Arabidopsis thaliana: one gene and its partners. The protein of the gene in region 4 interacts with the protein of the main gene of each other region in a pairwise test. Each region holds a gene or a part of one and is shown on either strand. Other genes may lie near its edges. The genes, in order: PIF7, ULT1, AT3G24490 and PIL1.

Region 1 (7,536 bases), on a different chromosome or scaffold from region 4:
TTTTTTATCTAAAAAAAGATCGGAGTTTTTTTCATTGTTTTGTAATACAAGTGATTAATTTTCGTAACGGATCATGATCAAAATTCAATTTTGTCGTTTAGGTATTAATGTCATTGATGATCAACGAGGAAATATACACATATTTGATCATGACTCTTAAAGTCAACATTTGTCCTTCTTTGAATGTATTGAGTCATCTTTGGTAGATTTTTGTCTAAAGATTTGTTCTTTATGATGTCAAATTCTAGAATCTGATTAGTGAATAGGTAATAAAAGACAAAGAATCAGTTTAGAATCCATTAAATTGTTCTAATATGCTCTGTTCATAAACGTCGAGATCTTTTTGGTAATGCACTCTGTTTCCTCTACAGGTTTATTTTGTCAATGGCTGAAGAGAATACTTCAGAGGTCAAAGATATTGAGAATTCTTCCGATACAAACCCTCCGAAGATGTCTGAAGAAGGCTCTTTGGAAACAGTACGTGTAAAGGATGTGGAAAATGTGGAAGATGTTATAGCTGTGGTAGCCAAGGATCAAGAAGAGATTATACCAGAGATTATTGAAGTGCCTAAGCCTCAAGGTGGGACTTTGAGACGCCATTCGACTGGAACGATAAGTAAACCGCAGGTTCAGTCCCGTTATCGTGGGAATCATCGTGTGGGTTCGACTCATGATTTATGTAAACATGGGAAGAAATGTGATCAAGATGATGCTGTGAAGCCGTGGAAGATTGCAAGGAGAAAGAGTGTTGAAGGTTCAGTTGTGATCAAAGTTGAGACACCAAGTTCGACAAGGAAGTCATTGGGGAGTGTGAGTAGACAGAGTCCAGGTATAACCAAACCGGATAGTTCTGTTTCTGCAAAGAGAGATGCCTTGGCTGTGAAGAAAAAACCATGTGCTTCTGTGAATTCAGAATCTAGCTCCAAAGAAGGTAGTGAGATAGCGAAATCTGTTGATGGTTTAAGCGTTAAAAGCAATGATAGAGCGCGGAAGAATAAAGAAACCGAGAGTGGTCTGAGTGGTTCAGCTGTTGTTAAGAAGGTTCCTGCCTTGAGAACTGATAAGTCAAGTACTTCTACGGGCGTTGGAAGTTCTAAGGTTTGTGCTCCAAAGAATCTGAAGAATGTGGAGAAGGCAAAGACGACTCAGACAATTAGCGGTGAAGATGTAAAAGAAAAGACTGTGTGTGTTGTTGAATCTAGCGTCAAAGGTGTTAAGAGTGAAAAGCAACCATCATCTGAGAAGAAAACCATGAAAAGTGGGAATAAAAGCTTGAGTACTACTCCTAAACGTGGTTCTAGTCCTACAAAACAGATTCCTGGTAAAATCAGTACCGGTTTGACTAAGAAGAAAGAAACTGGCTCTGCAGACGTTGTTGAAGCAAATCCAAAACCGGAGAAGAAGGTTAGGCCTAAGAAGACAGGAGTAAAGGTGAGTCTAGCTCAGCAGATGACTTTCAAGAAAGGAAAGGTTCTTGATCCTAAACCCGAGGATTCTTCTCCGAGATGGATCAAGTTCAAAAAGAGGGTGGTGCAGGAACTGAAAACGCAATCCGAAGGGAAGAAGAAGAATCTTAAAGATAGAAGATTGGGTGTTGAGACGAAAACAGATTCTTGTGAAGGAAGTAAACGTGAGAAAGTTGTTCTGAGGCATCGAAAAGTAGAAGGGAAGAAGAAAATGATAACATTGTTTAACAATGTGATTGAGGAGACAGTGAATAAGCTAACAAAGGTGAGGAAGCACAAAGTGAAAGCTCTTATTGGTGCTTTTGAAACTGTTATCTCTCTTCAGGACACTAATAAGACATCTCACAAACCTCAGAGCAAGGCCACAACATCTGCTTCTAAGGTTAGACCTTTGGTCTCCGAACAATGAAAGAAAGAAAAAAAGACAAAAGTTTATTTGTGCATATGATCTATTAACATTGAAGATTTTAAACTTCAAGAGCGACCAAGAGATAATTTTCTTGTTACTGTCCTCGAAATAGCAAAGGGTTTAGTAATGTACTTTGACAGTTACTGAATTCAGTTGTGAAGCTTTCAAGTTTTATCTGCAAGTCTTTTTCCATACTCAAAACAGTTTTTACAATCATGATACAACAATCTTTCAAGAACTATATATATGGATCAATAATACTAGGTCGCTAGACTAATCTCTTTTCTCATGATTCGAAGAACTTGAAGGCATGCCGATATTTACCTTTGTTGTTTGATCAGACTGTTGTCTATAGATAGCTGCTGCCATTTTATTGTAGAGATCCATATTCATTGTCTGCATCAGCATGGCCAATGGAAGTGAGCTCAAGATTTGTATATCTTTGAACACTTTTCTCGAAAACAGTTAAAAGCGGTCTTACCTGTGCGAAAAAGGCGCTGTATGGATCAGATAATGTGGCTGAAGAACCGTTGGTGCAGTCTCTGTTACCCATAGGAGGGACCATCATTGGTGGAGGAGGAGGAGGAGGAACTAAACCTCCATAACCATTTCCACCACCTCCCATTCCCATTCTTGCCATTGTTGCAAGCAACGACATCTGAAACTGTTGCTGCTGTTGTTGCTGCTGCTGCTGCTGTTGTTGTTGTTGTTGTTGGTGTTGGATGCTGAGAACTGACTGTGGTGGAGGTAGTTGCGGAATCATCATTTGTTGTGGCAAGTTGGCTCTTAGGCTCATGAACTGTACTTGTGCTTGTAGCTGTTTCAAGTGTTCGATAACATCATCCAAGATTGAGACTTTATCCGCCTGCAATATCCGAATAACGCGTTTAAACTGACCGATATCAATATAAACAAAGTTCTTAAACTTAAAAGTGGGTTCTTCTAGGATAGACATTTACCTTACTTGCAGTAGGAAGCAGCTTCTGAAGTGTTCTCATCCTCTGGTTTATCCTATCACGCCGTCTCTGCATCAAAACTCAGAGTCAGTAGTTTGGTAATCACGGAAAGAGAAAAGATGGATTAGTTTTTACCCTTTCGGACTCGTTGTGAATCGCTGCTGCTCGTCCCCGTCGTCCATTAGATCTACCTGCTTCTCCTCTTGTCTCTTGTTCATCTCCTTCAGTATCTTGAGTTTCCTATTAAAGTCCTCTTTTGGTTATTTCTCCAGTCATCTTTCAGGAAAAAAAGGAAGAGTAATTTTGTTAGTTGTTACCGATCCAGAGCGGAAATAGTCTCTGTCTCCGGTTCTAGCTGTCTTCAAGCTCCGACCGGATTCAAAAGACGCCCAAGACATATTGGTACCACTCGCACTTGCAGTGACGCTGTGGCCAACTCTATGGCTCTCCTCTTGAACAGCGAACCATCGGTCCATTTCTTGAGGATAACCGCGTTTTCTTGAACAAGATCCATCCTTGCTCTCATAATTGTGGTTTGGACCATTCGGACTCTGCAGCTGAAACTTGCTTGGCTGCTGTAGAGCCGCTTGATGAACCACAGACTCCAAAGTCTCACAACCGTTGAGACTTTGAGTCCAAATAGGGTTATTCGAGGTGGTTGGTTCTACTTCGTCGCCTAGACCATGAACGGTTAGTTGCCCATTTTCCCATGTGAGCTCTTTAACTCCATAATTCGACCTGAGTCACGAAAAAAAAGAAATTGGTTTTGTGTTAAGACTTAAGAGAGAGAGAGAGATAAACAAAAAAGGACAGAAGCGTAAGGTTTTGTCTCTTTTTGGTGTAAACAGAGAAGAGTTCTTTATCAGAAACAGAGAGAGATACATGTGTTACTTAGGCCGCACGTTTGCAGAGAATAAACTGACAATTAAGCTCTCTTTTTTTTTGTTCTCTCTATTATTGGACCTTCTCTCTTCTCTCTTTCTTCTTGCTTGAAATGTTGAGTTCTTCTTTCTTCTTTGTGTGTTCAAACTCTTGACAATCACAGCGACAACTCATGCGGTGTATCTGCCTTTGATCCATATTGAAAGTTATAATAAAGAGGCCTCTCTCTCTCTCTCTTCTTGTCTCCTCTTTCTCAAAAATGGTCCCTGCAAAACGTCAAATGGTTTTTATGTGGACGAAGCACATGTGTGGCAAAGGATTGTTTGTGTTTTGCCACTCAAGTCCAGAATCATCTCTCCTGCTTAAGGAAAAAAAAAACTAATAAAATGAGGGCATTTTCGTCATTTCTTCACAACCGACTCACATTGACATGAATGTGTTATTGCATGCATTTGACTACTCGGTAGAAAGCATAGCAAAGCAAAGCGTGTGATTCACCGATTTAGAAACAAACACATTTCTAATAATAGAATTTATTATTATTATTTAAAAATGTAAATTTTTATCGTTATACAGTATAATAAACGTAGTTGAAATATATACATATATGTAGACGCATTAAAGAATAGAAAACAAGATATATTTATTGGAGTAAACACGTAAGAATCCGAAACTATAGTATGGTATTCGAATGTCAAAAATGAGAGTGAGATGTGAGGTTGATGCATCAACTAGAGATATTTGATGCAAGTTGCTAGGAATCAATCAATATGTTCTCACTTCTCAGCCTCTTTTAATCACTTCTTTAATTTTTCTCTGTCCATTCCCATCTCACAATATATCAAATGACTTGTTCATATGATCACCATAAAAACATTTTTAAAAAGTAAAAAAAAAAGAAAAGCATTTTTAAGAAGTTCATTTTACAAAAAGTAATGTATGGGAAGAAAGTTTCTAGTCTACCATGGGAGAAAGAAGAACAAGAATAAGAAGAAGTTTTTTAGATTTCTCAAAGAGATATCTCATTGATTTCCATGAATAATTGAAGCAAAGATTGTTCTTACTTGTTTCTTAAAATGACATATTATGTTTTTCAAATTTTGATTTCTTACTGTAGTTAGTGTTTATATTGCTATCTAAGATATTTTTATATGTACTCTTCAAAATGGAGCATCACTTATTAAATTTCTTATAGGACCTCATGTGCACTGGTCCAGAGATTACCTAATACATAGCCGTCTAGGTAGTTTTGTACGTAAATAGGTAAAAATAGACGACTTTTTCAATCATTGGTTCAGTACTTTTGTATCAGATTGGTTACAACTTGCAACCATAAGTTGAGGCTTATAAGCCTTGTTTGTAGTGGAACAACAAGTTGATATGAATGAAATATGTGATGTTGAGTCAGAAGAAAAGAATACGAAAACTATAAAGTACAGAGAAATGGATAAATACGGATCAACCCCTTTGTATTGTGAGATTTTCTTTCCCAATCATTTGATGTCACATCAAAATCTTAAGTGATTTCACCCACTCCGCTCTCGAGTTACGGCCGACAGCTTCAAAACTGATGTCGTCATAATGACACGTGGAAAGATCTTATTGGATGGTTTTTTGGGACCCAGTGTTGATCTGTGAAATTCAGCCAATCAACTTCTCGCATTAGATTCTTGACAGCGAATCCTAACGCTCCTCAGAGTTATCTGTTCAATTTCAAGCTTTTTTTTTTCTTTGATGTTCAAACTCTCTTTTATACGAATTAGATTCTTCACATCAATTGTTTTCTGCTAATCATTTGATTTATGATAACTTATTCTTTGATCACTAGTTGATGGTAATGACTGTATTGACCAAATGATGTTATAGATTTACATAAAACTAAAAAATAAATAAATAAAAAATACATTAAACTACAAATTAAAATTAAATGTCACTGTCAATGTTCTTTTGATATTTGAATGTACTCTTTCAATTAACACTCGTAGTTTTCCGTGAGACTTTACAAATTTGCCTATGCAACTCAACACAAACCCGAAAAACAATTGTTACTTATCAAAATTAAAGAATATTAATATGGTTTCAATTTATCATAACAAGTTTTAGCTAGAATCCTAAAGTCGTCACTTTTGTAATATAAAAGCAGAGGACATGCATGTGTTCATGTATGTGTGCGTACGTGTGAGAGATAAAGAGGTAGATAAAAAGTGAAGAGATTGAAAGCTTGATTGAGCAAAGTTTAATCAGTGGATCTTCCGAAGAATTTTTAGGATTTATTTTAAGGATTCGTACTTGTTAACTATTCATGTGTTCTTTCATTTCAAGTTTCTATTTTTCTTAAGTCTTTCAAGAACACACGAGTTTAACAAAGTGAGAAAGATAGCTTTTATATAAGAAGAAAACATCATATTTATCAAGTTAAGTGAGTTCTACTTTTAACTAGGTAACTATGAGAAAGTTATATAGAATGTATTATGTTTATAAATGTATATAACATTTGAATTCATTACAAGGTCACGCAACGCGTATCCATGGCATAGGATCGGTGAACTTACTCTTTGCATCATAAATTGAAAGGACACACATCAATAGTTGGTGAATAAAATTTAAATCGTCGAAATTCTATTGATTGAGACTTGTACAACGACAATATATATTACAAATTTTCCTAATAAGAAGAGAGGATAGTAAATGTGAATGGTCCTGGCCACCACATAGGTGTTGCTACGTACCAATGGAGAAAGAAACTTCGGGTAAGAGAGTAACTTGGTTGGACCAAAGAATGCCTCATTTTCCTTTTGAGAGCATATCACAAATTGAGTTTAACGATCTATCAAAATCCTTTATGGTCCCTTTTTGGTGTTTACTCGTCTATAATATGATACATTTCATGTGTGAAATATGGTCGAGAGCGTGTGTAAACATCGACTATCACATCAATATTTGATTTTTATGGAGTATAACTCCATTTTATTATGATATTTGACATAACAATTAAAGCTTAAGAATTAGACAGATCTTTAGAAAAGAAAAGAAAATAGGGAATTAGGTTGAGAGACAATTGAAAACTGCAATATTATCCATGGTGATGATATCTACCAAAATTTATAATTATAGGTACTTACTCTTTATTTATGATTTGAGTTTAACACATACAAATATAGTTTCATTGATATAAGTAATTTTGATTTTAGTAACACCGAAAGCAGAAATAATTATTAGGAACTTTCCCTGTTCGACTCATTTTCTTTACTTTTCCATGAACTTGAGCTTCTTTGCTCCTTCTCTTCTCCTCAAGCTGTTTCTTGGCTCCATCAGCTATTAGTTGAATCCTTGCTAATTTTGACTTATAATGCTGATTATTAATCCCTTTTCTCTTCTCCAATTCACTCTTTATAAAACAAAATAATATATTAGCTAGTCGTCTGAATTATATGCATTAAAAAAAAATGTTTATTCACTAGATAATGAAATAACCTTTCTTTTCTCCATTAACAGTGTAGCTGCTAATTTTCTCTCATTCTCCCAACCCACAATATCAGCTTTCATTTTCTCATACCTTCAAGTAGAGTTTATTTTCCAGATAATTATAATAAGTAATGGTATTATATATACTTTTAATATTAATAACTAAGAATGAATTTTGACCTTAATCTTATTTTCTTGATTTGAGATTTTTCCCAAGAATCTGCTTTACTTGACGCTGAAGCAAGTCCTGATGTTCCGGAGGATGAGCCAATCTCTTGTGGCCGACGGTTTTCTGATGGATACTCCAACAATTTTTTTCTGAAACTCTCCTCTGGGGGAAGAAAAACATATCTATTAC
Region 2 (7,826 bases), on a different chromosome or scaffold from region 4:
GCGTTTTTTGGAGATTCTAGAGGCAACAGACTTAGCGCATTCAGATGAAATGCGCAATACCATTCTAAGTGACCTGAAGCGTGATTTTTGCAATGAACCTGAATACTGGAATTGGCTTGCAAGACATGAAATGAGTGGTTGTATTAGCAATGAGGCAGGCCTAGAGTTTGCAAATCCTCAAATGCAAAAGGCTATTCAGGTAAACAAATCTTAACTTATGACTAGGGGTTAGAAATTTATTAAATGCTGAAATCTGTTAAAGAATGTGGCGGCCATAGTTGTGCTGCATTTCCTTAACATAGATCAAATCTTTAGTCTTGATTTTACGCTCACTCTTTTTGGTTTGAACCTGAAGTCAAATTGCCTAGTTTAATAATGTCGGAGAGGACAGGTGGAACATTGGTTATGGGGGGGCTTTTCTTTAGGACTATACTAACTTGCTTTACCACAATCTGTTTCGGCTTAGTAGTAGAAACTAGAAAGTACAATATCTGATAGGTCTTAAATCTTGTCCCCTGAATGCAGGTTTTTGAAGAAGGCTTGCAAACTGTTACGTCAAGTTCTATGTTTGAGATTTATATAAATTTTCTGATGGAGGCTATTGTACAGTCAAACGGCGACGAGAATGAAATCTCCTCTTTGTCTAATCCGATCATTTCACATATCATAAACGTGTACCAAAAGGCTGATGAAACTGGCTGTTTGACTGAAGAGCTTGCTGATGAATATGTTTCTCTGTACTTGAAACTGGAAAAGACTCATGAAGCTCAGAAGCTAGCAGAAAAGCTCTGCTCTGAAAAATTTGCTGGATCAGCTAAGTTGTGGCTTTCAAGAGTTTCCATTGAAATAAGATCACTTTCAGAGAACTCATCTCCTAGTAAAGCAGATTTTCAGACAGTCTTTGAGCTCCTTTCAAATGCTTTGAGGAAAGTACCGATCTCAGAATCTGAGAGCTTGTGGCTAATGGTATGTGACTAATATATTTTCTAGACAATACACTAGTTTGTTAAGACTACACTAATAAAATGCTTATTGTATTGCAGGCTTTTAATTTCTTTGCTCATCAGCGAACTTATTTGGACAAACTTGTAGAGATGTCCATCCTATCAGCAACCAAAAGCCATGGGAGCGACCATGTGTTTTCTCTTGCTTCCACAGTGGTGAAATTTGTTCTTGAAACAAAAGGGGCCCACAGTGCGAGGAAGATATACAAGAGGTGAGTCACTACTCCTCCAGTCCCTTGAGTCACACATGGACTTTATTCTCACCACTGTTACCGTAAAACTGCAGGTTCTTGGCTCTTCCTGGTCCCAGTCTTGTTCTATACAAAGGTTGCATTGAAATAGAGACCAACCTCATATCAGTAGGTGATAAAGATGGTCTCAGTAATGCCCGGAAGCTGTATGATTCTGCTGTTGCAAGTTACGGTCAAGACGTGGAGCTGTGGAAGAATTACTACTCATTGGAGACAAAGGTAAAGTGGATTCTTAATACCCTGACCAAAACCAATACTATGACTTAGTGTCAAGTATGCTAACTGACAATCTTTCTGATGTTTATTGCAGCTGGGAACATCAGAGACAGCCAATGGAGTGTATTGGCGTGCGAGAAAGACTCTGAATGAATCCGCGGATTTCATAGTTTGATCTCTGATTTATAGGTAGTCTAGTATGTATGATGAAGGAAACACTATGTTTGCCTCGTATTTGTGGATGCAGGTTTCAGTTATGTGATCCTTAAGATATGAATTTTGGTTGTAACAGAACAGGAGTCGATGTACTACTTTATGAGTCTAGTTATACTCTAAAACACTTTTTTGATACAAAAACATGTTGAAGTTCATACATGCCTCTACGTCTTTGGTTTCACGTTTCACATGTTTCACATGTTTCTGATGAATTTATTCTCGTATCCTCTTTACCTGGTGACGACTTGGTCTTTATGATTCTAATGTTTGTTGTTGATAATAAAAGTATACATCACTTAAGGGATCCCATATGGTTACTGTGTTCAAAACAAGACGTCAGGGCTTTTTGGGTATTAAGAAAATGTCTCTTTCCATGTCCCATCTCCTAAATGGCTAAATCACAGACCGAGTAGCTGTGCCATTGACAACTTCGTCTCACAAAGCTGTCAACAGCTAATAAAATAAAGAGTAACAACAAACTATTAATAACACTTTTCCCTGCCACTAGCCAAAAATCTAGACATGCACTAAACTCAGGCATGCTCGTCTGCATGTTCTTCTTGGAAATCAACTTTTTCTACTTTTTTTTCAATTGCTCCATTCACAACCCATAGATAAGATAATTAACTGTTTGGAGTTTTAGAATAAGTTATTAAATGCAACGAACAAAGTCTGAGACAGACATTTTTTTTTCTTTTCTTAATGGACTGCCTTCTTCAAGCTTTGACATTGCTGGTGAAGTCGACACAAGTCTGGCAAGTACACTCAGAGAAACGGCATAACTCGCAGCCAAAACAGACGCAGGAAGTGCAGCCTTTGCAACTAGGTGAACGTGTGCACCCTCTGTACACCTTCCTGCTCCCTCTCTCTTCTTCCTCCTCACATGTTATCCTACGACCACCACACCATTCATTGATATAATACATCATTTGCATCAAACTTAAGTACATACAAGGACAACAAAAGACACCTACTTGTCGTATGGGAAATCTGAGCATTTCCAGTTTGGATCACCCATTGCATTGTGGTGCAAGCGGCATTCGTCTCTGCTCCTCAGCCTGAACCTCCTCTCTTTACCACAATCGTTACACCCAACAAACTCATCTCTATGGCAAACTTTGGCACCTTGTGATCTGTTTGATCTACTGCACTTCTTTGATGATTCATTGTAGTACTTGAGCAATACTGTCTTTGACAATGGAACCTTTTCGCCCCCAATGATAACCCACACATTGTTTTTCCACTTCCTTGCCGTTTCTCTTCCAGAATGCTTCTCGAATGCAGCTGGTGTCAACTTGTCTAGCATCATACAATCAAAACTGTTCAAGTCAGTCACTTTTACTTTCAAAGAGAGCTCTAAATGAGCATCTATACCAAATAAGCTAGAGATGGAATTGTTAGCTACAAGATACCACAAGAACTAGGTTGCATCAAACTTTGACATACACGTACAGCTAAGCGAGACATATCATTTGTCAATAAAGCTACCACTTGGCCAGTAACAAAGAGACGCATTACCATTTACAGATAAACAGACAGCCTAAAACATTACTGTGGCAAATCAAGTCATTTCATTTTCTACAAGAACGGATCTAGCTAGCATACACTAAGACTCATTGATAAATATGTAATCATGCTAAAGACCCTAGCTTTACCAGCCCAATGTGATAGTAGCTAGACAGAGACAAACGTTTAATCTCACACACATTCACATGTAACATGCACACAAATCAAAACCCATTTTCCCAAAAGCATCAGAAAGACACGAGAAAGAGACAGTAGAGACAAAAAAAGAGAGACCTTCATCGCAACCAGGTGTGCATTCGCAGGTGATTTCAAGGTCACCGGTGGGGAAAACCCTAAGTCTAGCAACAGCATCGCCGTATCGGTGACTGGTACAACCACACATGACCTCAACGTAATCGCCACCAACATTGACCCCACTCATCTCTTGTAGCTCCTCTTGCTTAAACAACATGGACCCACATTGCATCTCTCCCTCATTGTTCGCCATCACTCTCTCTCTGAGATTTTCTCCTTATAGCGTATGAGGAGAATGAGAAGAGAGAGAGAAGGAAGAGGAAGAGGAAGAGGGTAGAATTAGGAGATGAGAGAAGAAGGAAAGGCCTCGTTTTGGGGTATAAAAGGAAAGCCCTAAAGGAGCACGCATCTCAAAAGCCGTAAGAGAGATCTGATATCAAAGCAAAAGCTTATTAAGGGCTTTTCGGGAGAAGAGAAGAGAGAGAAATAAATTAGAAAGAGAGCTCTTTTAGTTTAGCCTCTCTTTGGCCTTCTTGTGGTCTTGTGGTTATAGTAAGTAACAAAGAAACTCTCTTATACAAACAAAACAAAAAGGATGCGAATTAGCTGGCCAACAAAACAAAACTCGTGGGGGCATGGGACCTCTCCATTATATTAATGTTTATATACAACTATGTTATAGTATGTATCACCTACATAACATTGTATTGTATATAGGGAAGAGAGAGAGAATTTCTATGGTTGATAAGAGGAGCAGGAACAGAGGCGGTGGGTGAGAGGCTTTTGATAAGACATAAGAGAGAAGAAGTTGAGGAATAGGGTTGTGTCAATTGTTTCAGGTTCCTCTTTGGTTTTATAATGTCATAACTCCTTTTTCTATTTCTTGTACTTACTTCTTTTCAAGAAGTTCTTGATTTTGTAATTTTCAAAGGTCCTTTTTTTTTCCTTTGAGGTTCTGCAAATTCTTGGCTCTTCCCTTTCACCAGGATTCATTGGTTACCGAGTCATTTCACCACCACACCTATTGGCTATTTTTTTATATAAAATAAAAGTTGAAGAAATATATAAAGGTTGGTTTGTTTAATTGTTAAAAGAAAAGGTTTAATCAACTAGTTGTCTATAAAACAACTAGTAACCAAGTACATGACGACGACGTCATTGACATCTATGCCTGTTAGGTATTCTGCAATGCGCTCAAACCCCAAAGTCATATCTCTATATTTGTAGCTATATGTGTTCGAGGAACTCATTTTTTTAATACGGATGAGGATACTAGTGTTGTATGTAGACCATATGATTTATATATGGTATATTTGTTGTTGTTGTTATCTTAAGTACATACACAATGGATGGGTTGCAAAACAAAAACAAAAAGTACATAATGGATAAATGAGAATTAAAGAAAATGTCGCCAGTTTTTTTTTTTGAAGAAAGTGAAATAATTATGTCAACATCTTTACAGAGACATGAATATGAATAAGTTGTCAACACAATTTTTGTATAACAACATCTTTACTTTGAACTTTAAAAACTCTCTTTCCTCCTAGTTGTTCCCAAGAAACTGAAAAAAAGAGTAGCGGATGGGAGTGAACTTATGGATTCAAAACATTTATTATGGGCTTGGGGTTTAGAAGTTTACGAGCCTTGGCCCCTTTCTGATTTCTACTCAAAGTTTTGTCATGTTTTTAAACTTCTCATATTTTGTTTTTGTTTTTAAGATGGTGGTTATAAATATTCGAATATCAAGTTTGCAGCAACGATGTTAGGTTCTTTCCACTTCAAGTTTTATTTAACACAAAACCAACTAAAGATGAAAAAGTAGCTTGCTCAACGCGTTCTTATTCAACAATGAGGTAAATGCAACATAGTGGATGGATGATGAGCTAAAAAATGATGGTCAGTTCTTATCTTCAACTACATTTTTGACGACCAAAAGGAAGATGTTGGTAGTATAAGTATTAAGCATTTTACTTACTGTCGTTACATGTCCGGTGTCCCTGTCCAAGGCAATCGGCAGTTGTGTGTTGAAATTATCCCAACGATGATGGGTCGCTATCTAACGAGATATTTGTCCATCCGCATAATTTTCTTTTGAATATTTTAAAGAAAATCAAACACTAGCGTTTTGTCTTTGAAGATATGAATGAATGAGACAAATATCAGATTCTTTATCAAAGTGGATAAAACAAAAGAGCATAATCGAGCCCATAGTGAATATGGGCCAACATGAGAAAGAGGCCCATTAAAGTTGACAAGTATATGACTCGCGACTCTCGAGAGAGCAGAGTGAGAGAGAGAGAGGAATTAGCAAAAGTAGAAAGAAAATGGGATGCTGCTTCAGCGCCGGAAAAGTCACAGCTCCACCAGTCGCCGCCGCTCAAATTCCTCCACCCCTCGAAGAAGAATCCGTCAAAGAAGTCGTTGTTCAATCAGTCTCTGTCTCCGTCCCCATACCCATCTCCGTCCCTGTCCCAGTCCCCGACCTCGTTCCTTCCGCACCAACAGTCTCAGATTCAGAAGCTCAAGTTCCTCTTCCTCTCTCACCTCCAGCTCCGGAGATCTCTCACAGCAAGTCCGACATTTGCAGCGTCTCTGTCTCTCACAGCTACTCCACTGCCACAACTGCTACCGCTGCGTCCATCCTCGAAGACGATGCTCTCAGCAAACCTCACCGTCCTCCTCCTCCTTCTTCTTCCACCTCTCGCCGTAACAGGCCTGACAGAGTCCTCAGATCTCCGGCAGAACGACATTCTCCTCAGGGGAAGCAGCTCCGTCCTAGGTTAGTCCGAGAGAGACAGTCTCGTCAACCAAACCCTACTCACAACCGGCGAAATGTGGATTCGGGTCCACTCCCACGGAGCGGGTTATCGGATAATCCGAGGCGTCGCTCACAGTCTCCAGCCACTCGTGCCCCGAGTTCTGCAAGAAGAAGCCCCATGAAGAAACGAGTAGGAGCTCCGGAGAAAGACGGAGCAACAGAGGTGAAGAAGAAGGAAGAAGAAACGGAGAAAGTAACTGCTGAGGTAAAGAAGGAAGAAGATGTAACAGCTGTGAGAGACCCTGAAGTGTCCATGGAATGCTTCATCTTTCTCTGATGATCTCTTCTCCTTTCATCATTATTAACTCTGATGTGATTGATTGTTTTTTTTCTTTCCCTTTTTTTGATTTGTAAATTGCGGAATGTATAATTATTAACCAAATCTTATGCGGATCTTCGTTTTTGGTTTGTTTATTGTGGACTCGTAAAGTAAAAGGCAAGCCTACGCAACAACGCTCACAAATTCCATGGCTTTTTATTTTATGGAGATTGCTGCTCTTTTGCTATGGGATAAGCAGACACAAACAGAGAAACACTGTTCTGTTTAACAACACTTGACTACATAAACACTTGTCTGATAAAAAGTCCTACTTAATGAGATGAAAGAAGGTTTCAGAAAGAGCTTGATGATGATGAGGGAGGACATGGCTGAGCAATGAACGTTGGGACATCTTCTCCAGGCATCAACACCGATATCTCTCTTTTACACACATCCATCTGCAAATAAACAACACAAGATTATACATGACATCATCATCTCACAAAAGACAACTAGTGTGTCGACAAATAGGTAGTGAATTCCTCTAAACATATCTTATTTTCTACTCTGCTTATATTCAAACCTCGTTGCATGAATCAAGGGGTTTTGTATCCCCATAAAATAATACATTTAATGTAATCCTGTTTTGGACTTTGCACCATTTTTCAAAGATACGACAAAAGAGCTTCCTCTAGCATAAACCCTGGTAAATCATGATCCTGACCGATAGACTTCATTAAACTTAATAACTTATACGCATTGGCAGGTTTATTTCATCTTAATCTCACCACCCAACAAAAACAAGCATAGTTATGAATCACAAATGTTTGATGATCACAACCTCATTTAGATGCAAATTCCAAGTGAATCAGAATGTTCACTTGAGTTAAAAGACTAAGTAAAAAAACAACAGAACAAAAAACGTAGGCAAAAATATAAAAGCAAATAGAGAGGAGATGTTATGAACCTTGGGGGAAGCAAAAGGAGGAAACTTTTGGTCGAGAGGTGGTGATGGAGTTGGTTTAACGAACATGAACCTCTCAAAAAAAGCAATTAAGAGGAAGATAGCAATCAAAACTCCGGTCGCAACCAAACCAAATGGCACCGCATTCACCGAGCTCTCAAAACGTCCTTGACCTTCTTCGTCCGCAGCTAAAGGACCCGCCGTTCCAAACCTTCTATGGTCGTGGCTGCTCATTTGTAACTGGAAAGAGACTTGTGAAACAGAGGAACAAGATGTAGAAAAAGATCGTTTCATTGCCCAAGTTCCCACTTTTAGTTGACTAGTCAACATTACGTAC
Region 3 (7,487 bases), on a different chromosome or scaffold from region 4:
AAACATATTCGACTGATTACGGTGATGATTGTTCATGTACTGTTTTGGGAATATATGTGTGATGTCTCTGATTATCTACCAGCTTTTCATTAGGTGGTGAGATGCGCAAGCTCGCAATCTTTCGAAACATATTGATGCCAACGATCTTTAGTAAACATTTTGTGAGTTCAACATCCACGTATAATAACCTGAATGATTAATGCCTATTAGCCTAGTTTTACCCTAATAATAATATCTACTTTCTAATGTATATTACTAAACATTTATCAAATTCTATAGCACTAGCATTATCATTTCACGGGCAGAAACTTTGGCAAGGAGCAGCACTAAACAATTAAGTCAGCAGATTTATGATTTCATAAAAGATATGTAGAAGTATAACACTGTTTTAAAAACCCAAAACACTATTATAAAACCCATACATTTTCGAATCTTTTATTCATTCTACAAACCCATACACTATTATAAAGCATGGATACAAATAATTTGATAACCGACTCCATTAAGGTTTATAATAAATTATAAGAATTTCGCGACACCTAACAGCCTAACTACCAGGTTTTATAAAAATCATTAGAAGGAGGACCAAACGAATCGCTTTAGTAATCAAAAGATTAGTTGTCTAATTAAGTTTGCTTTTGGAGCTTTTTCTTAGTTATTGCCGCAATGAAGCACACCGTGTGGGGACGTTTTGACACATCAGGTAATGTTCTCATAGACCAGCGGGATGTTCGAGGCTTTTAGGTCGCCGACATGTGTCGATTTTTGGATAGTCGAATTTAATAGTATATTACTTTAACGAAACAAATATGTAGAAAAATAACCATATGCTTTTTACTTTTGCATAATCACTTCTGTTCAAATTTACTTGGTATCCATGGTACATCATCATGTAAAACATTCGTTATGAAGTTTTTAAATAAAGTTATGTTAATGATTCGTGCCAAAAGGAGCACATTTCGCCAATAGCCAAAAAGAATTGTAAGAACCGAATTACAATAGAGTATTTGAATTTGTATTTTTAAGAAGTCATATGTTTTTTATGTTGAAAAACAATGTGAAGGAATTGAAGTCATCTAGAGTGAGTCGAGACGTATATTAAACATTCAAACTAGTTTAAGAAGTATGTATAACTCGTCCTATACACACAAGTTTTGTATCCTGACACTTTTTCTTGTGGGCCAAAAGGTCCCATAAATAATGCAAACTTCACTAATTCACGAGATCGTGTCTCCATATGAAGGAATTATACAAGTATTCAGATCTTGTTACAGTGTAAAATATTGAAAAAGGTGAAAGTGTTGCACTAAAAATCAGCCGTTGATGATTGATGAAGGAGCTTAGTATGGAGGATCTAGAGTGAACCATGCAAACATATACATATTTTTGATTATTTTATTAGATTTGTACGTATTGTATATAAATTTGGAAATTATGCATAATATGCATAGTATTCTTTTCCGTGGAGAAACATATAGATTTCTCACCTGAGCTTATATGAAAGTAACCACTATTTTTCTCATCACAAATCTCGCAACACTTCTTAATATGCTAGTAAAACTATAATGATCTAACGATTGGTACTGTTTTATTCTTTTTAAATTTTAAACCAACTGCTATTTTTAATACTCAAACATTCACTTTCTTAAAAACCAAGTGCTTCTAATTACTCTTAAAACCTAAATTATACATTTGAATCTAGGTTATCACTTCTCTTGTTAAATCAACAATGCTATGCGGTTAAATTTTGTCATGAATTTTTGATTTAAATAATAGAACGAGGTGATCAACATTTTCATCTGTTACCGGCTTCGTCTATATGAGGAGGCCAAGTGAAAGAAGTTATAATAACTAGGTAGGTCGCATGGTAAGTTTCCCATGAAGTCTTCAACGTCTTTTGTCCACTTGATTGTGCGCTAAATACTGTGTGAACATTCATTCATTATCTTAAGAACCCAAATGCTTTTAATTACTATTTAAACATAATTTGTACATTTGAATATAGGTTATCGAGTTTCTCTTGTTGAGCCAACAATGCAACATCTTTATTTCTGCCATTTTCAATTTAAAGAAAATGAATAAAATAAAATTAAGTATTTTGTTATTATATGCTTAGTCTTGTTAATGTAATTATAAGGAAGATAATGTTCCTTAATAGACTAGATGTGATTCATGAGAACCATGCACAAGAATTCAAAAACCCTAGAAGATTCGATGGTAAATGACGGATCAATTAGCAAAATATTCATGTACATTTACTATAACGCTATTGTATCTCTAGGATTATCGGGTTCTTGTAATGGATGATACACCACAAACCTTTTCTATATTTGTAATGCATTATGATTGACAAAAAAATAGTGTTCCTTGATTTTTTTTCTTTTTTTTGTGTGTGCATCAAGTGTTACTTGTTAATTCATTATTCATTTCATTATGTTTCTCATACACTCTAGCCATCTCTGTTTTTTTCACCAACTAATCATACAATTTTATAAATTTGGCGATTTTTTTAAAAAATAAAGACTCTATAGTCTATTTTTGATAATTGTATGTAACATTATGTACTATGAAAATATCATGCAATTGTGAAGATGACAAGGTTGTCATATCTTCTTATGAGGTAAGAAATTATTTCTTAGAGTATATGATCATTTGCTATTAGTTGTATTTTCTATCCTTCTATAGATATGTGAACTTCATTCTCTAGTTGAGTATGTATCAGAGTTACTTTTACCTTCCAGTACTAATGAATCTGGAAGCTCACACAGAATAAAAGTTCTTGCGTAGAGAAATACAAAATCTTAGTGCTTAGATGAACATTTGACCAGTGAGGTGAAGCAGACCACTATGGTTGAGATCATCTACTAGCAACCAGACCATCCAAAATCTCTTTTCTTCTAACCAAGAGACCAAGTCAGTGTCCCATCAAATTTGTTTTTTAATTTTTATTTTGGTTAAATATCAAATCCTTTATAACCAATTTCTCTTTTCTTCTCCATCCAATAAGTCTTTTCTATTTGGAATCTCATGTAAATCAAAGTGCTTTACAACTTTTTGGCAAACATTTTATCTTTAACACTAGACCAAAAACTTCCTCATTAATTAACTAAACTATATATATTATTGGCAATAGAGCATCCTGCTTTCGTAGGAATCCCCTTACCAAAAAAATCACCGAAGATACTTTTGGACTATATATTTGTCAAATCAATAAATAAAAATAAATAAAAGATTAAGAAATAAATGCTCAAAGCCTCAAAGTAAAGACAAAAGACAAAAAATTGGTGAAAGCAACATAGTTGGCATTGGAGTGAGCGAACGTAACCACTCATAACGCGTTTGAAAGAGATTGTTGTCAAAGACTTGAGAAACTTCGTAACGGTTTTATGATCACTCATTGACTCTCTCTCTCCGTTACACTTATGTTCTCGACGCGACCTTCCAACCATAAAATACTAATTTCATTTTTATTTTCACTTCATCGATATCTTGTGACATGTAATATGATTGGCTTATCAAAAATCTTTCATACGAATTTTCAAGTTTGTTCACATCTCTCTCCCAAGATATCCGTTTAGGAGCCTAGGACCGTTACTTCACTTTATTATTTTCATGTGGAGGAACTGTAATATATATCACAATTTTGTTGTTCTTGTTGATTGTGTAAATAGTAGTACTGGATACTAAAGAACAATGAGTATGTATCTCAAATATTTAGCTCAACCGTTTTATAAAAATACTATATTATTACCTTAAAATTGTTTGTTGCTTTATCAGTATTAGGTAATTATGAGATGTCACTGTTTAATCTATTTAAACGTTTTATGAGTTACATTAATGAAAAAAATCTGAAAAGTTAAAATTATACGAATACATACCTGTCTGACTCTACCTACTGAATTTTGTAAAACAATTTGTTATATTTTATAAGAAAGTTGATGTTGTAGTGTTTACTGTCTCATAAAAAACAATCTCTATTTATTTGATTTGAGACTTGAAATTTTTAAAGCTTGTTTTAAACTATACTGTTTTTCTTATAAAAAAATTGTATTAATTTTTTTTATAAATGAAACTGTTAAAAAAAATTGAAAATTTAGAGATCAAAACTAAACCTTTATAATCATTGAAATATATTGGTACATCTACCCACAAAACAGGTCAATCGTCTAGGTTTAATTATAATTAAGCCTAACATGTTAATGAGATTCAAACGAAATTAAAGTCCACAATGCCAACTCAACTCAAGTATCAAATCTTTTTCTTCTTTTTTTACTTAGCAGGAATACCAAACTCAAGTATCAAATCTTTTAAAATTTATTTTTTACTTATGTCAATGTGGGAATGACCGAGTTACTTAAGAGTTATGATTAATATTAATTCTTGTTTCTAACCAATTCATATATCATTGTCTTGGAAGCTTCTTCATATCAATGACTCAACTCTTAATTTTTTTCGAAAATCTGTTCTTACAAGGTCACACAATTCAATTTTTTTTTTGTATTGTAAATGTTTATCTCGTTATATTTACACTAACGAGATTTAAACACCTAAAATCAAATTGTACGAGACTAGTGTTAGTTATTCAATAGTATGATGCATTGATGCAACAAAATTCGTTGCGATTATTTATGATCCTTATCACTACCATGATCATTTCCATTAAGGTTATACTTACTTCCTTTTTGATGCATAATAATTACTCACCAACATTGAAGCGTGGTCGACATTTTCATTGGCAATAAGCATAACATTCATTTATTTATATTAAAACACAGAAACAAACAATTATTAAATAAAGAGTTCTGGCATTTCTCTATTTTAGTCCACTTAATTTAATACTATCATCTTCAAACAAGATTTCATCATTAATAATTTAAAAAATTATACGTTACATAGTGTATTAAATGAATTATCGTTGGGATACACTTTCACATTTTTCAAAAACGTATGAATCATAATGTGACACATGGAGATTTCCCACAACCGAGGCTCCCATAGTAGATGCTTATGCAATTCATATTCTTGCAGCTTAAACTCTTGCAAGTTCAGTAATAACACCGTGATATGAAAAATAAAACTTAGCCCTTTTTAATTTTTGAACTTATTCAGATTAATTAAAAGCATACGTAGCATATTTAAGAATATAAAGCAGAGAATCAAAATAACATATTGTTTCAATGGCACCCATTTTAGCTAGTCGATCAGTAACTGCATTCGCAGATCTTCGAACCCACCAAAAATCGACAGCTTCAAATCCTTTGAGCCAATATGACGCTAAAGGTCAAAATATTATGACCCTAAATGTCAGAAATTGACCCCATAAGTCATAAGTTAACCGACACCAAAGCTGATATTCGTTAGAGTTTAGACTCTCCTTTTCTTAATGATCGTTAGTTTTAGTTGGGAACTCTTGGGCTATCGGTTAAAATTAAATAATTGTGGTCCTCTTGGCCCATTAGTGCTGTCCAAACTGGCCCAATATGACCCAGTGGATGGTCCCAACAAACGCCGCGACAAAACTCCGTCGCTGGCTGAGGCAATGTTCACCGGTGGTGGTAGCTTTTCTTCTACTCCGACCCGGCTGAAAATGCAAATCCCTAACCCTAGACACGGCCATGGTTTATAAACCTCATCAATTTCTTCTACTTATCTCTTCTCAAAGCTAAACCCTCCAAGATATTCCTCTATTAGGTGCAAAAATCAGGTAAATCTCTATCTGTCCGATTTGAAACCCTAGATCTGCCTTTCTTCTCTCTTCTTTTGCTTTTCTGGGTTTTGCTCAAAGATGGGTGACAGCGAAGATGAAACAGGATACCCAAAAAAGTTTTACTCTTTGAATCGGCAAAACCATCCAATGTATAGTAGACCAATACCTAAGCGTCACGCGTATTACAATGAAGAAGAAGACGAAGATGAAGTCGAAGGAGAAGAGGAAGATCCACAAGGAGGATACATTCGTGGAAATGAGAGGTTTCAGAAGAGACAGAAACCAAACAAAGTAGTTTCTGGGTTTGAATTTGCTGGTCCTAGTGATGCTAAAGTTGCGTATGATTGGAGAGAGCAAGAAGCTTTTGTGTTGCTTGAAGTTTGGGGAGATAGGTTTTTGCAATTGGGTAGAAGGAGTTTGAGGAACGAGGATTGGAATGAAGTAGCTGAGAAAGTGAGTGAGGAGCTAAGGATGGAGAAATCTGAGACGCAATGTAGGAGAATGATTGATGACTTGAAGAGGAAGTATAGAAAAGAGAAGATTAAGGTTGAGAAATCAGGTTTAGGTTCAAGTAAATGGTCGTTTTTCAATAAGTTGGATATGTTGCTTTGTGTTTCGCCCAAGTCGGATTTAGGTTTAGCTTGTGGTGTTGATTCAGGTGAGTTTGTGTTTATGAACACTAAGGTTTATTTAGATAAGTCTAATGGGTTTGATGAGATGATGGATAGTCCTGGTGATTCTGAAGAGGAGGAGGATGAGGATGATGAGGTTGAGTACGAGAGGAAGAAGGTTAATGACGCTGCTTCGTATAAGATGTTGGCGGATTCTGTTGAGAGGTTTGGGAAGGTTTATGAGAAGATGGAGAAGAGTAAGAAAGAGCAAATGAAGGAGTTGGAGAAGATGAGAGCTGATTTTCAGAGAGATTTGGAGTTGCAGAAGAAGCAGATTGTTGATAGAGCTCAGAGTGAGATTGCTAGGTTACGTGAAGAGGAGGAGAATCATCATGGTGGTGGTGATGATGATGAGAGTGAAGATGAAGAAATGGAGAATGATTCTGATGTTAATCTCAGTGATGAGTAAGTTATAAACTATGTAGGTTTGTGTTGTTTGTAGATGCAACAAAATATGTTCTGTTTTTTTTTTTGGTTTTAGGGAATTCAGAACTTAAGTCTTATAAGTTTTGTAATTTGTGTTTGGTCTTTGCAACTTTAGTCGAGGTTATTTGCAGTTTATCTTGAAACTTAAATTAATGCATAAACATATTTCCTTCTTAATATACTGTTTGTGAGTATTTCTCTTGACCAATCTCATGAACATACATATATTATATACCATAGCTAAACCGACAGATACATATATAATCTTGTTATAATCGAGGAAACAATTTTTTGATATATAAGCATTTTTTAAGAGGAATAAACATCAGAGAAGCAAAAGACTTAACGAGCTTCAGATAGTGTTATGTCATAGCCATTTATTTGGGAACACAGTAAGAGGATTTGATCTCATGCCATAAGCAAAACAAAGTGTCGTAGTCATCTTCGCCAATGGGGGCATTGTTGTGGGCGACTCGAGAAATACCCACCAATGACTTGAGCCAGTCTTCATGCAGACTTGAGAACTCAGATCTTAGCTCACTTGACTTGAAGTTTTCCCCAATTGATCTCTTCATGGCTTGAGCAGCACCTGATGCTGTTTCAACCACTTGGTTTGGTATTCCAGCCATGAGTGCCACTTGAAGTCCGTAGCTCTCAGGACAAGCTCCCTCGGTTAAACGGTA
Region 4 (8,067 bases):
TAGGAAGGTACCTTAGAATACAAGAAACAAGACCAATATATGTCAAAACCTAAGAATCTTGTTTGAGAACTGAAAGTAGGAGAATGATTAACTTACTGAGTTCCAGGGATAGAGACTTGGTTGAGAGAAGTTGTATAACACCTTTTAAGCTCCATTTGTGATCTAAACACTTCGATTCCTTCGACGTAACTGCTTCCAAACGCAGAGGTTGCTATTATATCAGCTGTTAGTCTTTGGAACTCTTCGTTCATTTCCTTTTTAATCTTCGGGTGCTCTGTTTCTTCCTTAGTGCTCTCTTTTCTCCACTCCTCTAACATCTTGAGCGTACAATCAACCATCACGGTCGTCATGATCTGATCAACAAAATGAGAAATTTACAACCAAAATTAAGTTATTCGGCTCTAATGTTTAATTTCTCAAGTCAAGCTAAGAAAGAAGGATTAAAATACCTTGAGCCTATCGATGGAGAAAGCAGGGTTCAAGATTCTTCTATGGCGAACCCAATCAGCACCTTCGATAAAGACAAGTCCTTTGGAGCCGACAAGTTTAACAGCCTCAGGTCTTGCCTTTGATTTGACAAAGAAACCTAACTTGTTCGACAACATAGTTTTTGCAAGTTCAGGATCTGAGATGCATATCCTTGGCTCTGTTCCGTTCCAGTAAAGAAAAGTCTCTCCTAATAATATATAACATAGATAACTTGTGTGTTACGCATTATCCTCGAATAAAATCTAAAATAAAAGATGAACAAAGAGAGAGTTGGAGAAAACGACACCGTATTGAGACATCCATTTTTGATAATGAGGAAGAATACGAGGGAAAATATCATTGGAGCTAGGATCAAGAATCGAAAGATGAGATTCTCTCTTCATCTTCTTTATCTCGCTGAGGTTTCCGTAAAAGATTCTGTAATTTGGGCCTGAGATTCCTTGGTTTTTGAGTCTTCTGGTCAACACAAATGGATGCCAAACAAGAATCATAAAAGCTTTGAATATCCTGAGACCAATAATAAGGATTAAGACAATTAGTGCCAAGAAAATTACGAGCCCCATGGAAAAGTTTTTTTTTCCTTATGTTTGTGTGTGTGTATTGTTGTTCTTGGTTAGGTGTTTTAAGTTCTACACTATATAATGACATGCACATATAACTTTGTAAAATAAGTCTATGGCCAGTGAATGAAACACTATCTAAACACTACATGAAGTTAGCACAAACACGTCTGTTTATTTTCAATTTGAGAACAAACAAAAAGTAATTAATAAAGTAAAATGTGTCTTATATATGGTATGATGATAGAGTAGATTCTAAATATGCCTATAGCACATATTTGTTACGTAATAAGACAATTATAGAAAGTATATAAAAAATGAGTGGATAAAAGAAAAATATAAAATTACTCATGAAAGCTAAGTAATCCTTTTGGGAGAATAATTTAGTTTTAGCATTCATTGTATCTTAGGTTTACTGTTTCTGTATCTTTAAAATAATCCGGCATGGACAATGAATCAATGATTTGTTGTTAACATATCATTGTGAACAAAATACTTGATGAACTAATTGTTTGGAGAGTTAATTTGGTATTTGAATTCAAACGAAAATGTTATAGAAATAGAAGTACAACATTGTGAAAATAAATAAACAAAGATGAGAGATATTTATCAACCAACGGTGCAATGTGATGGATCGTGACATCGAATCTTAAAATGAAACACTTTTTCGTTTGTTATCTACTTTTGCATGGTTTCATATTTAAAGGAAGTGGTTGAAATTTTATTTCTATACTAAAAGAATTGGTTTAGACTTAACTATCCACTTTCTTTAAGTATCATGTTAACTCATGAAATAAGAGTCATCTATTTTTAAAAGAGAATCTTCACATTGATTTCAAGTTTTCAACGCACCTGACGCTAAAATATCAGAAATTCAATGTGTGAGTCTCATCTTCATCACACTATTGCACTCCCTTGTTTTCGTGTTTGAAAAAGCCCAATTAATTTTTTAATGTTTGAAAAAAGAAAGAATAAAGTAGATATTAGTCCACTAAAAAGCCCATCAAGCCCAAGTTTTGTAGTACTTTACTCAATCTCATCATTGAGATTGTTCCTTAATCCCAAAAACATGGCAAAATTCGTTTCAAATTACGATTTAGGTCAAATGAGTTGTCTTCATCTTAGTTGGGTTTGCGTTAAAATCGGTTTATCGTAATTGAACACTCATCATCATCCATCATTATGCAATTGCACGTCCTCTACTTATAACTTTGTTATAGAGTCTATGATAACTTATATTTGTTATATTTTACTTTGTACATCCACTTTGAAAATAGTTGGAATTAAGTTCAAATCGTTCCAAGAATCAAGGCCCAAAAGCCCATAGACTAACAACACAGAGTAGACGATCATTTTTTTTTGCTTAAAGTTAGTTAGTTGGAGAAAACATCAACTTTCTACAAATCATTAGTTTGGCGAGCGATAATAACTAAAACCGTTGCTTCCTCTATATTGCATTGCATCTTCTAAGTTTGAGGCGGACGCAGACTTTGGGAATTGAGTAAAAGAAGTAGCCTGAGTCTGAGAAACACACGAAGGCACCACGAATGGCTGAGAGCAATTTTCCAATGGAGAAAAGATAGGAGTGTTTGGAATTAGTCCACTTGGGTGATTAAGAAAGCTTAGCATTTGTGGTGGTGCATTGTTCATCCCCGGAAAACCGGTTGCTTGAACATTCATAGGCAGGAATTGCGGTATTGATGTTGGTGTTGCTGCTGCACCCATATGCATTCCTAGACCCATGGGAGAGTAATGACCCATTGGCAACATCGTAGGTGGTCTTATTAATCCATTTCCCATACTCATCATCTGTAAATAATTATTAGAGCATGTTAATTAAGAATCTTATATATATGTAAAAAAATTTGTAGTAAAATAAATAAGGAATAAACTTTTGATTGTTTATTGATTAGTGTTTAATTACGTTTATAATTTGTTTTGGTTTCTCTTATGAAACTAGTTTCTAGTGACTTTATCAAGAATCATTCGTAAAGGTAAAAGCCAAACGCAATAATATTTGATAACAAAAACACTTTACAAAGTATATTTTAATGTTAAAAAACAAATTTATATGTAAATATAAACACAAGTCTGTGTTTAAATAATTAACACCTGAATCATTTTATTATCTCTCAATGAAATTTTATTGAATTGGTGTATTATTTTGAATACCTGAACTTGAAGTTGAAGGGTCCGCATATATTTGATAGCCTCATCCAACAATGAAGCCTTATCATCCTATCATCAACAATTACAGATATTCAGAAATCTCCACAAAGAGAAAATTAATTAACTCTCTAAGACTAAGTAAACAATGTAATGTGATTTAAGTTAATCTCAAACCTTGTAACAATTTGGTAGTAGGTCCTGCAAAGCACGCATTTTCTTGTTGAATTCATCTCTTCGTTTCTGTTAACAAATCCTTAATTAGCATTAATTTTCATACATTATTTTTTTTCTACTAACTAAGGTGAAATTTTCATACATATAAACTCACTCTTTCATATAACTTATGGACTTCTGTGCTTCGTTTTCTTTTAGTCACCGGCTTTCTTGTTCTCGCATGAACTTGTGTCTTCGCATCATCTGATTCATCATCTGAATTCTGCATAAGCAATAAGAAAAAGACAATTAATGATCTACCATGTGAAAGAACTAAGACAAGCAGCTAATTAATTTCTCTTACATTACTTAAATAGGTTGATTCTTCTTCTTCAATATCTCCATACTTCCTCTTTAAAGAACAACAACTTAGATCTCTCGAAGTTCCTCGAGAAAACTTCGATGAAGAAGCAAAATACAATTCCGTGGATCTACCAACAGCTGCAGATTGCTCATCAGGAGGAGCTGTAGTAACTTCAACATTCTTTGGACCTTTAGCAGAAACATCAATTAATGTTGATGATTCAACACATTTGTTGCTTTTCGAAACATTTCTCTCAAATTCGATTTTGGAGGACTTTAGCTTCTTCTTATTGTTGTTCATTTGTTCATTGGTTTCTTTATCTTGTTGTGGCTTAGACTGACTCACCGGAACAACTTGTGTGTCTCCAAGAATCTTGATGTTTTTCTTGAAACCCTCGCTGTACTCGGTCTCATACAAATCCAGGAGAGATTGCCTACGTTGCTTTTGAAAAGAACCGTTGTTCTTTGGTCTTCGAATCTTTGCAAGAATCTGCCCATTTTCACACACCAGCTCCATATAATCTTCATCTTTTAATCTGCAAGAAAAGAGTCACGTATAAATAACCTATTAACAAAAAAAAAATAGTCAGGAGAAGACAAAATTGTTTCAAGCACCGACAGAACCATAAGCGCCCATTATTTCAAAACCACGCATGTGTATATGTTTATAGAAGTCGCAAAAAGTGTAGATGAAACCATAATAAACTTACTTTGGTTTAATGTTTGATGATGGAGAAATCATGTTTGGTTCAGATGATGATGATGCTAAGGGTTTTGCTTCCATTGAAGTAAACTGAACAAAGCTTTCTTTACTTGTCTTTTTTTTTTTCCGGTTTTTGTGAATTGTAGAATCAGAGAGATTCGGACTTCACACTTTGGTTTTCTTTCTTGGGGTTAATGAAGAGCAGCATATATATATATATATAGTCGGTTGTATATATGTATATTCGCTTATTTCATTTATGATTGATTGATATGGAGGATTTGTTTTGGTCCACAACTCATATATTTATCCTTGAATCGTGATTATGACACAGTATGGAGAATTAGTACAAATTATTACCTTACAAACTTTGGTCGACTTCAAATGTTACATTTCAGATTTATAAAATTTACAGTTGCTTTTTTTTAATACAAAACGTATATATTTGTTTGTATATGTGAAATGAGTTTTCGCACGTTTTATAGAAAAAATATAATCATAAATTCATAATAACATAGACTATACTATATATACGCGATAAAGAGTAGTATAAGTATTCATGTTAATGTGTAAATCTTTCATTTTAAAACAAAAATATTGATGGAATAAATGAAAGAAGCAAGATAATGTATGGGCGATAGTGAAAGACAAAGAAATAGAGAGAGAGACATTCTTATGACCGACTTCTCTACTCTCCACCGCTCCATTTTTCTCTGCTTTCGGAAAAAGAATAGAAAAATTAAATAAAAATAAAGTCAAATCTACGATTGCAATTCCTTTTTTTTTTTTTTGTCTTCATCTAAAATGAGAAAATATTAAGCATGATCATTTTTTTAACGTCTGATCCGTGAATTTTACTTGAGCACAGTCAGATATATATATACATATATTTATATATGGTTTTGTGTATTTCCTTTTTATTTAAAAGGTCAGGAAAACACAATGTAGTAAATAGGAAAACACAAAAAAAATCACTCCCGATGATGCTCCAACAATAATGCAACTAGTATTGATTTTTTCGTCATGCAAATTCCTATAAGAACGTGTTCTTAGAAAGTTTAGGAATAAATTCCAAACTATGCAATGACAAAGCGTCCAACTGAACTTACTAAATAATCTCCAGTATTGGAACACACTATTTCTATATTATGTTCGTGTGTTATTTTTTTTATTGAAGATAAAAGTATTATCAATAAGTAATACGCATGTTCAATTGTTCACAATTAAAAAAGAAAGGTCAAAACTTAGGTAGACCGAAAAAAAATCAATAATGTTGTTATCAAAAATAAAACAAAACACTAGTAAAACTGTAGTGAGTGACATGCGAGAGAGACGGGCACAAAAGGCCCACGTGAGCGGAAAGAACCTTCACGCCATTATTAAGACATATATGGATGGGCCCTTTCTTAAAGGCTTTAGTTTTCTCTTTAAATGGGACCCACAATTAGGCTTTTTTTGGCCAAGTTCACGTGCACTTCACGTGAATGCCGCGTGATTCATCCACCCCTTTGTGTTATTTTGTCTCCCTCCCTTCTTTCTTGTTTGTTTCTAACGACTGCTACTATCTTGTCGTCTTCTCCATTTTTACCCTCTCGACACATTCTAAATTCTTTTACCGACCGTAAAAAAAGAATCCTCTGTGATTTGAGATCTCTCTATTTACAAACAAAATTATCTCTACCATGTTTTTATCATCACAGTAAAATTGTTGGGTCCAACATTTTATTTTCTGTTTCATTCGATTGATATCGAATTGTGACCATTCTTTGTTCAGTTTGGTTTTGATATTCAATATGAAATACATCTCTGTTAAAGTAAAATATTGTAATTAAAATTCACATCAACGTCTGCAAAATATTCTGGTTTTTAAAAGAAAAATGTTTGGATTGGTTTTGCTTCGATATATATCAAGATATCAATAACCTAATTAAAAGTTGTTGGTTTAATAAAAAATATCTGCAGTTGCTGGCAAAAATAAATTAAAAAGAAACCTTCAAACTGCTATATAAAATAAGGCTCTATGATATAAGTAGTTTTGTAGTGGTTCAGTGAACAATAAACTATTCTATACGAATACGAATCAATGACAATGAGTCAAAGCATCATCTACTATATCTTCTTTATTCGCCTGAACTCATGAGACCACTAAACCAAAGGCTGGTTTTGCTTGAGAGGTTTTTCTTTCCTGGTTAACACAGTTCGTCTAGTTTATGTTTTAAAATGGAGAATAACGACGTACGTGTGGTTGATTGATTCTGTGAGACTCAGTGTCAATCATCCCTCAAACATTCTGCGACAATCATCTTCAGCTGCAGCATCTTTCCTCTCGCAGACTGTAAACCAATACGTCATTTTTAAGTTGTGCTTTTGAATTCATGATTTAACCATTTTTAGAATCTGACTCTTAAGAAGCAGAACAATGACTTGCCTTGTTTACAGAATCGATTCTTTTGGTCGCATCGTCCAGTTTTGTCTCGATGCCTCCTTCAAAATGTGCAATGAGTTTTTGGTGTGATGTTCCTGTCATAGAGAGATAAAAAGTTATCAAGTGAGTTTAGGAAATACTTGTCCTCCTGCTATTATTATATTAAAACTATCTTGCCATGAAGAATCTAACTTTGATAACATCATATGTTTCAAGTATTTCTAGTGTTAGAATTCGTTGTAGTAAAAGCAGGAATTACAGAAGTTAACATACTTTGCTTCTTTATGCTTCCTTTCAGCTCTGACTGGTTTGCTTCAAGCTCTTCGATAGTACTCTTAAAATCTTCAAGATGATGGCTGACATCGTCCTTGAACTTTTCATGGATCATTCTCATTTTCTCTTCTTGCTCTGTTAGACGATTAGATATTATCAGTGAACACAATAGATCAGAACGGATCTTGCATATTTTTATTCAATGAGTGGAAATATGGAGACATTTCCAGACTCTCATGTTCCACAACAATACACAGCTCAATTTTTTATTATTCTCCACATAGGAATGAATTGAGCATTTAGCTTTGTCTTGATATAACTATGTTAAATGCAAGTTTCATGTCTATGTTAGAGCCGAAAGTATAGTTAGGTGTGTGTGTGTGTCTAATCAAAGAGACATGAAAGCACAAGAATGAAGCAAGATGGTGAGTACTTCAAGACTAAATGCAATCTAAAGAGTAATACTTGATATCAAATTTCCGATCTACTACCTTGAATCAGGATTAAACTGCAAAGATAGTATATTTGAACTTCTAAGCTTTCTTAATGTTCATGACTGTGAATTCGAGTACAGTATTAACTATTAAGATATAATGTGTTGATGTACCTTGTAATCTTGTTTCGGCATGCTTTCTCTTAGTTTTGGCTAGGTTACTTGTCTTTCCCCTGTACCATAATTAACAAGATCTTTGATTGATAATTTAAAAGAAAGAATGCAGAATAAATTATACAAACATACGCTTCTGTTATGATATGGGACTTGATATTCTCCAACTCCAGATGTATCTCCTCGGAGACTGATGCTATAATTTCTGAGGACTTCTTTTCAGCTGCAGATTTCAGTTTTCTCTCAAAGTTTTGAAGAGCCATAGCGAACAATGCAACAGCCCTGAGACATGGTAAATAATCAACTTAAGACAGGAACAAAGATT

What was found.
Region 1: the proteins of PIL1 (region 4) and PIF7 interact in a two-hybrid assay, tested with the Arabidopsis thaliana proteins (one large-scale study listed by BioGRID).
Region 2: the proteins of PIL1 (region 4) and ULT1 interact in a two-hybrid assay, tested with the Arabidopsis thaliana proteins (one large-scale study listed by BioGRID).
Region 3: the proteins of PIL1 (region 4) and AT3G24490 interact in a two-hybrid assay, tested with the Arabidopsis thaliana proteins (one large-scale study listed by BioGRID).

What each region holds. Positions count from the first base shown.
Region 1 is NC_003076.8:24,636,725-24,644,260, forward strand, and holds PIF7 (phytochrome-interacting factor7), read right to left. Parts: upstream 4,042-7,536; 5' UTR 3,716-4,041; coding exon 3,714-3,715; exon of another isoform or gene 3,570-3,713; coding exon 3,149-3,569; intron 3,072-3,148; coding exon 2,967-3,071; intron 2,901-2,966; coding exon 2,835-2,900; intron 2,741-2,834; coding exon 2,357-2,740; intron 2,272-2,356; coding exon 2,149-2,271; 3' UTR 1,876-2,148; downstream 1-1,875. Other genes in the region: AT5G61260 (Plant calmodulin-binding protein-like protein), read left to right, coding at 385-1,875; AT5G61280 (Remorin family protein), read right to left, coding at 6,901-7,101, 7,188-7,269, 7,359-7,509.
Region 2 is NC_003075.7:13,981,628-13,989,453, reverse strand, and holds ULT1 (Developmental regulator, ULTRAPETALA), read right to left. Parts: upstream 4,432-7,826; 5' UTR 3,702-4,431; coding exon 3,415-3,701; intron 3,007-3,414; coding exon 2,662-3,006; intron 2,579-2,661; coding exon 2,404-2,578; 3' UTR 2,012-2,403; downstream 1-2,011. Other genes in the region: AT4G28200 (U3 small nucleolar RNA-associated-like protein), read left to right, coding at 1-199, 526-966, 1,044-1,216, 1,291-1,474, 1,566-1,646; AT4G28180 (uncharacterized protein), read left to right, coding at 5,773-6,543; AT4G28170 (uncharacterized protein), read right to left, coding at 6,879-6,983, 7,493-7,819. UniProt on the Arabidopsis thaliana protein: Putative transcription factor that acts as a key negative regulator of cell accumulation in shoot and floral meristems. Negatively regulates the size of the WUSCHEL (WUS)-expressing organizing center in inflorescence meristems.
Region 3 is NC_003074.8:8,905,237-8,912,723, forward strand, and holds AT3G24490 (Alcohol dehydrogenase transcription factor Myb/SANT-like family protein), read left to right. Parts: upstream 1-5,185; 5' UTR 5,186-5,785; coding exon 5,786-6,787; 3' UTR 6,788-6,987; downstream 6,988-7,487. Other genes in the region: MSH7 (MUTS homolog 7), read right to left, coding at 7,182-7,487.
Region 4 is NC_003071.7:19,293,161-19,301,227, forward strand, and holds PIL1 (phytochrome interacting factor 3-like 1), read right to left. Parts: upstream 4,699-8,067; 5' UTR 4,519-4,698; coding exon 4,445-4,518; intron 4,378-4,444; exon of another isoform or gene 4,362-4,377; coding exon of another isoform or gene 4,354-4,361; exon of another isoform or gene 4,271-4,353; coding exon 3,736-4,270; intron 3,655-3,735; coding exon 3,547-3,654; intron 3,459-3,546; coding exon 3,393-3,458; intron 3,288-3,392; coding exon 3,222-3,287; intron 2,859-3,221; coding exon 2,457-2,858; 3' UTR 2,271-2,456; downstream 1-2,270. Other genes in the region: CYP709B1 (cytochrome P450, family 709, subfamily B, polypeptide 1), read right to left, coding at 1-11, 97-353, 450-676, 776-1,052; ASY3 (asynaptic protein), read right to left, coding at 6,708-6,770, 6,866-6,957, 7,136-7,270, 7,743-7,801, 7,875-8,024. UniProt on the Arabidopsis thaliana protein: Transcription factor. Involved in responses to transient and long-term shade. Required for the light-mediated inhibition of hypocotyl elongation. Necessary for rapid light-induced expression of the photomorphogenesis- and circadian-related gene APRR9.